Daphnia pulex: one gene and its partner. The protein of the gene in region 1 interacts with the protein of each later gene in a biochemical or structural test. Links are inferred from orthologs where the notes say so. Each region holds a gene or a part of one and is shown in the gene's direction. Other genes may lie near its edges.

Region 1 (4,252 bases):
TTCTTATTAGGCACCCCGTGATATTCCGTTGCCTCCTTCTCCCCAGCCAGGTCCTAGTGGGATTGGCCGAAGTTCTTCCGCGGTGGTTATCGACGATGGTCAGAGTTACTCCGCCATGCCGGGTCCTTCCAGTTCAGGAACTAGACCATCAGAGGAGGATGAGGACGACGACCTGGACGTTGAGATTGTGGAAGTAATCCGTCCGTCTTCCCCCCTGGTGATAACGCTATCGGAATCGGATGAGGAACGGGAAGAAGAGTCGGAGCGAAACGAAGCCAGCTCTTCATCCTCTCGCGGCAAAGCTCTCAAACAAAAAAGTTCCCCTGGCAACAGAGTTAATGCACGCAAGGAGCCGCAACAACGAACAAAGTCCGCCAAAAAGAAGAAAAGGAAGCGCGATCGATCTCCGACTTCGCCCGTTGAAACGCCAAATCTAAATACCAGGTATTCCTTGCGGATGCTCAACGTCAATCGCCAACAAGATTCATGATGTCCCCTTATAACCCCCACTCCAAAACAACACAGAGCTCGTTTCAGCCGAGAAACGGAAGAGAACAATATCAACGATACCAGCCCGGACCAGTCGTCTCGTTTATCCGGCGGAGCTGCTGTCCGCTATTGGGATATGGATCCGGAAGAGATACGGCGCCAGCTGCACAACGACCGGCCCCATGAATCCAGCGGAAGCAAACGTCGGCACAAGCGAGACAGATTCAATTAACCAAGTTCTATGCTACAAAATTACATTTGATTTGAATGTTCGAGGCTCCTCGACTACCTTGAACCGATGGAGATACAACAATGTTAACCAAGAGACTGATGGTTTGATGATGCTTTCTCTTTTTCTTGATTGTTTTGGTTTCAAATGGCTATCGTTTTTCGTCTAGCCTCTTCTTCCTTCATTGTGTGCATGTTTTGTGTTAATCTGAACCTTGAAGATGATTTAGCTGGAAAAGGAAGTTTGCCAGCCACAAGCGTCCCAAGAGTTCCGGTATTTGTGTGTGTGTGTCCCATCAAGGCTAAGAGCTACTTCAAAGTGGGAACTGATGTAATCGAGTGTGTATATCCCCCGACCCAAGAATTATTTTTGCCTAAACACAAAAAAAAACAACCATGGCGTGCAAACATTCGCAAAAATCCCGGCAGCGCCAATTAAAAAGAATTAAAACAATTTCAAACAAGAAAGCGAGTTGAAAAAGAAAAGCACACACAGCTGTTGTTGGTTTGGCCCGTTTCTCAAGGTTCTATATCTATACAGCCATAGTTCGTCATCTGATCCTCGGGATTTGGAAAAGAGAAGAAGAAAAAAAAAGAGGTCGTTATTATTGACACGACATGGTATAAGCTCGCTCGTCGTCTACTTCTGGCGCCCGCCTGACGGGCGTAGAGTTCGTTCGGGAATGGCACTGTGTGTCGCCGGATCAGCTGGCGTTGCTATTTAAAACAAAGTGTGTGTTGTAGTAGTATCCTAAATAAGTGGACCGGGACTGGTTTATTATTCCCTTAAATGAAATAGAGTTTCAACGTTGCAATTCCTTTTCAGACACGTTGGTGATTCACCGGAAGAAACGACTACGTGGAATTTTTCGCAAGACCTTGCGTGATGGCGGCGAATTCCCTTGTTTTATGGCCAAACGGTTTTTTCTTTTTTATCAGTGGCACTCACGTAACACAAGAGTAGGAAAATTGAAGTTGTGGTGTTGTTTTTTTTTTGCGCTTTGACCTTGGGGGTGGTAGCGCCAATCAATGCCTTTCATCTATTTGCACGCGTGACGTAACGGTCGTACGCCAATAACACCCCCCCACTTGAGTCAACAGCGTCAACATTTTTTGGCGCATAGGGAAAAATAAAATACAGGGAGACCTTGGGAGTAGGAAAGGCTCAAGGTGATATTCTGTACAATCCGCATATCGCGCTGAATCGGGAAGCAAAAGCTTTTTTCGCGGAAGTGTTTGCTGTGGGTGTGTGTGAACAACCCCTGAGACTGACGGGAAAAATATCAGACAAAATATACGTTGTAACTTTTTGCCCTCGTAATGGCTTATTCTGTGATCCTTGATCCGGGATTTATTTATCGTCTAGATTGTACCAGTTTTTTTTTTTTTTAACTATCTCTGATTAGTGTTGCAGCCATTTTTGTTCTTCTTGGGAATTTTTGTTCTTTTCCAGGGGCGATAGACTTCCCAAGGACATCCAAGGTTGTTTTTCTCGACCGCTAGATGGCGTAGTCATGTCTGAGAAAAATTAAAGCCCCCTTCCCCCATTCGTCTGTGACCGTCTGGTGCGAAAGCAGACAAGGTACCATGCATTTCTGAGTACAGCAGCACTTGACTGTTTGCCTCTGTGAGAATCACACCACCGTGAATCGCAGTGTGTGAGAGAGACAAGACAGAAAGTTTGAGAGAGAATCAAAAAAGAGGCGGAGTTGTGTTATAAATTTTTTCCGTCGTCACACACAAAACACAATCTGATATAAATGGACCAGTTGAAGACATTTCAAGTTACAGTTTGGATGCCGTAATCCACGGAGGCGGTGGTATGAGTGTGCTTCCGTTCGTTAGTGAAACATTTTGTTTGTGTTTTGACGTTTCCGTGGAATTCTGCCCACTTCCTTCCCCCGTCACTAGCAACGTAATAAGAAACTATGCAGAACGACCTCGAATTTACAACCAAGCTTTAACAATCATTGTGTGTCCTTTTTCTTGATTTAGTGCACAGTGAGGAGGTAGCAGCCTGTGAAGAGTGCCATCACCATGCCGAGAACTAAAGCTATCATGCCCAATAGGATAGCCACCAAGGCAAGAGAGGAGTCTGAGAAGGGGCTCGGGGAGATATTGGGCAACCAAAGTCGTCAGATGAACAACACCATCAGAACAGTCTTCCAGACTCACTGCCAGTTTGACGAGCCCAGCCCTAAACTGGTGTTGGGTGGCAGGAGTCCCAGTCAGAGTCCTTCACGCAGCAGTGGCAGCTTCATCCCAAACAGAAATCCTGCTTCCAGGCCGCCCAGTAAGACCAGCAGTAGAGAGCACCTGGCTTCCGTTTCACCCAGGTCTACCAACAACACCCAACCTAACAATACTCCTCTAGGTAGGATGGAGCAGTCGTGGCCCCCACCTTCTACGACTCCTGGAAAACCTGGTCCTTCCAAAAGTGTGGAAGCCCTCAATCGTCAAGTCAAAGCTGTCAACAGCAAAGTCTCTAAAATCCCCTCACACAACGTGGCAGCCAGACCCAGACCAGGCATTACGAACAAGATCAAGAGGCAAAACAGTGTGTCAGAGTCTGGTTCCCCACCGTCAATCAAAGCAGAGGAAACTGCTGCTGTTGCTACAACCAGCAGCAGCAAATTGGCCACAGACTTGATCAACCTGTCCATTTCCAAGACGCTCTGCCAACAACAGTCAATTGATCAGGACTCTGAAACAGTCCCCAGTCAGCCCAAGTCAACTGAGCTGGACTCTGTGCAGCAGCCCCAGCCGGACGTCAAGGAAGAAGTAGAAGAAGAAGGCAAGAAAAACAGCCTGGAAACGATTGCCAAAACGGACTCGCTGCCTGTCGTAGTAGGCGGTGGTCATCGTGAAAACGGTCACGAGAAAGAGGAGGAGAGTGACGAGACACACGCCACCGAAGACAACGAAGAACAGGCGGTGGCCACATCGCCGGACGAGCGTTTCCTCAAATTCGAGGAGGAAATTGGCCGCGGTAGTTTCAAGACCGTCTATCGAGGACTTGACACGCAAACGGGAGTTTCAGTCGCCTGGTGCGAACTTCAGGTAAAAAAGAAACTAAAACTAAACTAAAACTAAAAAAAAGGAACGAACGAGACTTGGCCGGCTTTTGTTTATCGATTGTAGGTTTATTGGCCAGTAGTAAGGAAAAAAGGGAGATGTAGAAACACGAAACCGAGTAACGTGAAACTTTTTTTTGGCCATTGCAACGTCGTTTTGAAAAAGTTGTCGACCTTTGTCACGGGATCAGAATAGACGATCCATCACGGTTTTTTTTTTGTTGGAATCGTTGTCTCACTTCCGGCTACTCCTCCTCCAAAAATCCGACGTTTGGTTCGTCGTCTCGTTATGACGTGGACCAAAGGGTTGGTTCACGTTTTTTTTAAGTGTCTACTACCAGCGTCTAGCGGCCTTGGTTGTGCACTGCGATGCCCTTCGGATTTCTTTTCCCCGATCGCAACGAAACAAAACCATCTCTCGTTGTCTATTTTCATTTGAAAATGAGTTATTTTTGTGGGTT
Region 2 (4,564 bases), on another chromosome or scaffold:
CAGAAAACTGATATTTTTAGCCTGCCACACACACCCATCAAACGCTGATTGCCGAAGAATTTGAGCCTGACGTGTTTCGGCAACTCATAGAATACATTCACACCGGTTGCGTTACCCTTCAACCTAGAACTTTGCTCGGTATTACGGGAGAATGTGCAATGTGCTGCTTACGATTATGATTATAGCAACCATTGTTGTTGTATTATAGGAGTGATGAATGCGGCTGACTATTACGGACTGGACGAACTGCGTCGATCGTGTGTAGGTTTTGTTCAGTGCTGCATCAATGTCGACACTGTTTGTGCCCTTTTGGCTTCAGCAGAACGCTACATCCAGTACAAATGCACCAAATCTCTAGTTCAAAAGGTTTTATGCGCATATATTTTCAAAATATTCAAAAAAATTTTAATTTTACGTTTTTTCTTTCAGGTTTTAGAATTTGTTGATGAACATGGAAATGAAGGTAAACATTCTATTTAAAATAGCTTCGTTCTTCGTAATGCACAATTAATTTCAAATTTCTCTCTAGTATTGAATTTGGGATCATTTACACTATTGCCGCAACATGTTGTCCGTCTTGTTCTGTGTCGAGATGAACTCAAAGCGGATGAATTCACAAAATTTCAAGTAGTTTCATTAATCACGTCAAAAGTCGAATATCGTATTATTTATATGTTATTAATCCTTTAGGCTGCTTTGATGTGGTCGAAAAAATATTGCGACAGTAATCCCAACATCAGCCTAAAAGAAACGTTGTCCAACTTTTTAGAATTCATCCGATTTCACCAAATTCCAGCTAATGTTTTGATGCGAGAAATCCATCCATTGGGTACGATTTACTTTAAATCCATTTATAAAAATTGTTATAACCTTAGCGTTTCCGGTTATATCTGTAGGATTGGTACCAGATCATTTAATCATGAATGCATTGGCGTACCAAGCCGATCCGACTTGCGTAGACCCAGCTAAATTGTCACCTACTCCGCAACGTGGCGGTAGGAGACGATCTCAAGCCCGTTCCATGTCAGTCCAGTCGTCACTCGATCCGTACGGATCGTCCACCACGCTCAATAGCGAAAGCGCTTCTTCTGAAATTGAGTCCAGTCCTCGCTTAAGTTCCGATGGAAGTCGAGGTTCACCATTGGGGCGTCTCTCTAATTAATTTATTTTTGCTGTTAATACTCTTATGCACTTTGCCCAAAACAGAGTTGTAACTATTAATTTCAACGTATGTATGTATATGTATGTTTGTATTTTTTGGGGTCAAACCATAAGTATACGGTGTATGAATTTGTCGAACGTACAATTAAAACGCATAGGTCGTCCCGTCAATCACGCTGGGCCAATCACTTTAGTATTCTGGTTAAGACAATGGCGACGGTCCGTGAATGAAGATTATGGTGCGGGGCGTCCTCATCTCCATTGAGGTCAATTTTCAATGCCGTTCCAAAAATTGAGTTCTAATTGCGCAGTTATTGAGTGTTATGGGCTTCACATGACCTAAAAATGTCAGCACAATACCGATAAAATTTTTATATGCCAGTCATTAATTCAATTTCGTGAAGAACCTTGTGTAGTGTAGAAGAATAACTATCAGCCAATCATCTGAGCTAGTCAACCTAGTATATTAGTGGATCAAGTGACGGATTCTACAGATCTTTTATGAACAGTACGTTTCATTGGTCTTTGATGAATGGACGTTCTGTGGCGTCGCTCTAGTAGTATAAAATTCGTCTAAATGAAGAGTTATAGAAAAGGGTACGGTAACATTTCATAACGTACATTATGTTAGTCATTTGGGTCTCATCTTCGTGACGCACGTTATCTTGGGTTACAGAAACTTCACGTTGGAAATTCTTCCCAAGTCGCCGTCGATGACGTCCACATCCCTGGAGGTAATTGCCTTAATTGGTGGCCGGAATTCTCTCATGGAGGATTTATTGACGAGCATATGGGGCTGTTTGCTTAGGTTTTCCGTCGTCGAAATTCTGTGCTGGAATACGAACAGCACTTTAATGACCATCTTCCGTCCTTTCAGGTAATGAAACCTTACGCTTCGTTCTCGTTTCACTAGCCCTCGGCGACCACTCGATTGTTTATTCTACAGATCCCACCATATATACACCTTTCCTATCTGTTCCGCATATGAATTTGAAAAGAGGACAGACACGTAGTACAGAAAGTGGCACGAATGACTCCAAAAGTGTTGGTCAGTTCGTCGCGAGCTTGTGAGTCGTTCTAAAGTCCCTTAAACAGCACCACCGGATAACCGATTTCGATAGTGAAAGAGAGATTACTGTGATAATTTAATTATTGCAATACAGGGGGACGAACTGCGTTCACAGCTGGAAAACGATTGTACAAGCTTGATAAAAAAAGGTAAGATATAGCGTGGATTATGGGGTTAATTCGTAAAGTGGGCAGCAAACAGAATTTTGACAGAATCGAAAATCTAGAGTTCTAGAACGCTATATCAAACTCGACTAAAGTTTCACTTAGGTGCTCCACAAGTACATTGTCATTCATCAAAAAATAAACAAAATTGGACATAATAACACATACATTGGATTTTCATGGCGGAAAATAATTCACCAAATTTAACGTCAGTCGGCTGGCCAAATTCCAAGGATGACTACGTCTTGGCCGAAGTTATTGGTGAGAATCTTTACTGTCGTAATTTTGGGGGACCAATGTCACTAATGGTGGACGATTTGCCTTCGAACGTCAGCGTTCTTGTAATACCTATTCAGCTTAAAGAAAACTTACTCGTATCTTTTAATATTTGAAGAATACTAAAATCAAATTTTAAAATGAATGATTAAAAGAAAAAAAATTAGGTTTTTTTTTTCATTTTTTATCTGACACAACCTAAAAAACTAATACCACTCTCAAATGTCAAAACAATGCTGTGACTACTAGGTCATCTCTGTTTGCTAGAATCTAGTTCTTGGCCTACATTTATAATATTAAAAACATTTGTGTAAAGTACCAATGAATTTTCTAGTCGTAGTTTGTATTTTTTGTTAGTCAGTAACTAAAAGTGACATTTCTCGAAATTAGCTAGGTGTGGTCATATCTAAAGTTTGGGCAACTGATAAGATATTACTATTGTGTTCTTAGGTGTGGGAGCCACAGCGGTTGTGCATTCTGCCTTTTGCAAGGCCCGCAATGAGAAATGTGCCATCAAGCGAATCAATCTAGAAAAATGGAATACAAGCATGGAAGAACTCCTAGTAAGTTTCATTTTCTCTTAGTTTATAGCATCACAAAATGAATAATCTCTTATTTTTTTTGTAGAAAGAAATTCAGGCTATGTCTTCCTGCCATCACGAAAATGTTGTTACATATTTTACATCATTTGTTGTTGGTGAAGAACTATGGCTTATCCTCAGGTGAGTTTTTTTTTTTTTTTTTTTAAATTTTATTCTTAGGAGAGAATTCATAACTTTAAATTGGTTTAGACTTCTTTCTGGAGGTTCACTTCTTGATATAATTAAACATCGAATGAAGGCAACTGATTGCCGTCACGGTGTTTTTGATGAAGCAACCATTGCCACAGTACTAAGAGAAGTTCTCAAAGGACTCGAATACTTCCATAATAATGGCCAGATCCATAGGTAATTTTTCTGAATTCACTATGCTGTAGCATTATTACAAATTGCCATTTACAGGGATATTAAAGCTGGAAACATACTGTTAGGGGAGGATGGTACAATTCAAATCGCTGATTTTGGAGTCTCGTCTTGGCTAGCGACAGGTGGAGACTTGAGCCGACAAAAGTCGAGGCATACTTTTGTTGGTACACCTTGCTGGATGGCACCAGAAGTCATGGAGCAAGTAAGCAATAAAATATACATTCATTCGTTTCTCCAAATTCATAGCTACTATTTTAGGTGACTGGTTACGACTTTAAAGCAGACATCTGGTCTTTAGGGATCACCGCCATCGAATTAGCTACGGGCACTGCACCTTATCATCGCTATCCTCCGATGAAGGTAAATTCTTTTACACTGTAAATAGTTGAAAATTGATTAATATTAAATTTTATGTTAGGTTTTATTACTTACTTTGCAAAATGATCCTCCTTGCCTAGAAACTGGTACAGAAGAGCGTGACCAGTACCGAGCTTATGGCAAGAGTTTCAGGAAACTCATAGTCGATTGCCTTCAAAAAGATCCTACTAAACGGTAAGCGTTTTGAAAATGTTTGAATAATTTCCGTAGTGTAATATTGACTTTTGATTCAGGCCAACTGCCACCGAGTTGCTCAAACATCCTTTCTTGAAGAAGGCAAAGGATAGAAGGTACCTGGTACAAACTTTGATTGCCCAAGGTGATTTCACTCAGAAAAATGTTTAAATTTCTATTTTCAACATAATATTTTCTCTTATTATTTATAGCTCCTTCTTTAGAGGCTCGTTCTCAGAAAAGTCGCAGTTACCGAAAGGCCCCTGGAGCATCCGGCAGATTGCACCGAACTGAAGCGGGAGACTGGATATGGTCTTCGGACTCGGAAGATGAAGCGCACTCAAATGATGAATCTGACGACGAGCCTCCGTCAGAAA

Evidence for each region.
Region 2: of the proteins of serine/threonine-protein kinase WNK2-like (region 1) and serine/threonine-protein kinase OSR1-like, one has a biochemical effect on the other in vitro, tested with the Drosophila melanogaster proteins (2 studies listed by BioGRID). The link is inferred for Daphnia pulex from reciprocal best matches to the Drosophila melanogaster genes Wnk and fray.

The regions. Positions count from the first base shown.
Region 1 is NC_060019.1:867,118-871,369, reverse strand, and holds the start of serine/threonine-protein kinase WNK2-like, read left to right. Parts: upstream 1-1,349; 5' UTR 1,350-2,632; exon of another isoform or gene 2,633-2,712; 5' UTR 2,713-2,754; coding exon 2,755-3,777; intron 3,778-4,252. Other genes in the region: E3 ubiquitin-protein ligase Topors-like, read left to right, coding at 11-444, 526-721. UniProt on the Drosophila melanogaster protein: Serine/threonine-protein kinase component of the WNK-SPAK/OSR1 kinase cascade, which plays an important role in the regulation of electrolyte homeostasis and regulatory volume increase in response to hyperosmotic stress.
Region 2 is NC_060026.1:7,355,693-7,360,256, forward strand, and holds the start of serine/threonine-protein kinase OSR1-like, read left to right. Parts: upstream 1-1,646; 5' UTR 1,647-1,738; coding exon 1,739-1,758; intron 1,759-1,782; exon of another isoform or gene 1,783-1,837; coding exon 1,838-1,895; exon of another isoform or gene 1,896-1,969; coding exon 1,970-2,038; intron 2,039-2,107; exon of another isoform or gene 2,108-2,324; coding exon 2,325-2,379; intron 2,380-2,489; exon of another isoform or gene 2,490-2,573; coding exon of another isoform or gene 2,574-2,607; coding exon 2,608-2,655; intron 2,656-3,120; coding exon 3,121-3,233; intron 3,234-3,297; coding exon 3,298-3,392; intron 3,393-3,461; coding exon 3,462-3,617; intron 3,618-3,671; coding exon 3,672-3,837; intron 3,838-3,893; coding exon 3,894-3,995; intron 3,996-4,053; coding exon 4,054-4,187; intron 4,188-4,246; coding exon 4,247-4,332; intron 4,333-4,399; coding exon 4,400-4,564. Other genes in the region: serine-enriched protein-like, read left to right, coding at 214-366, 430-463, 530-627, 691-829, 897-1,162.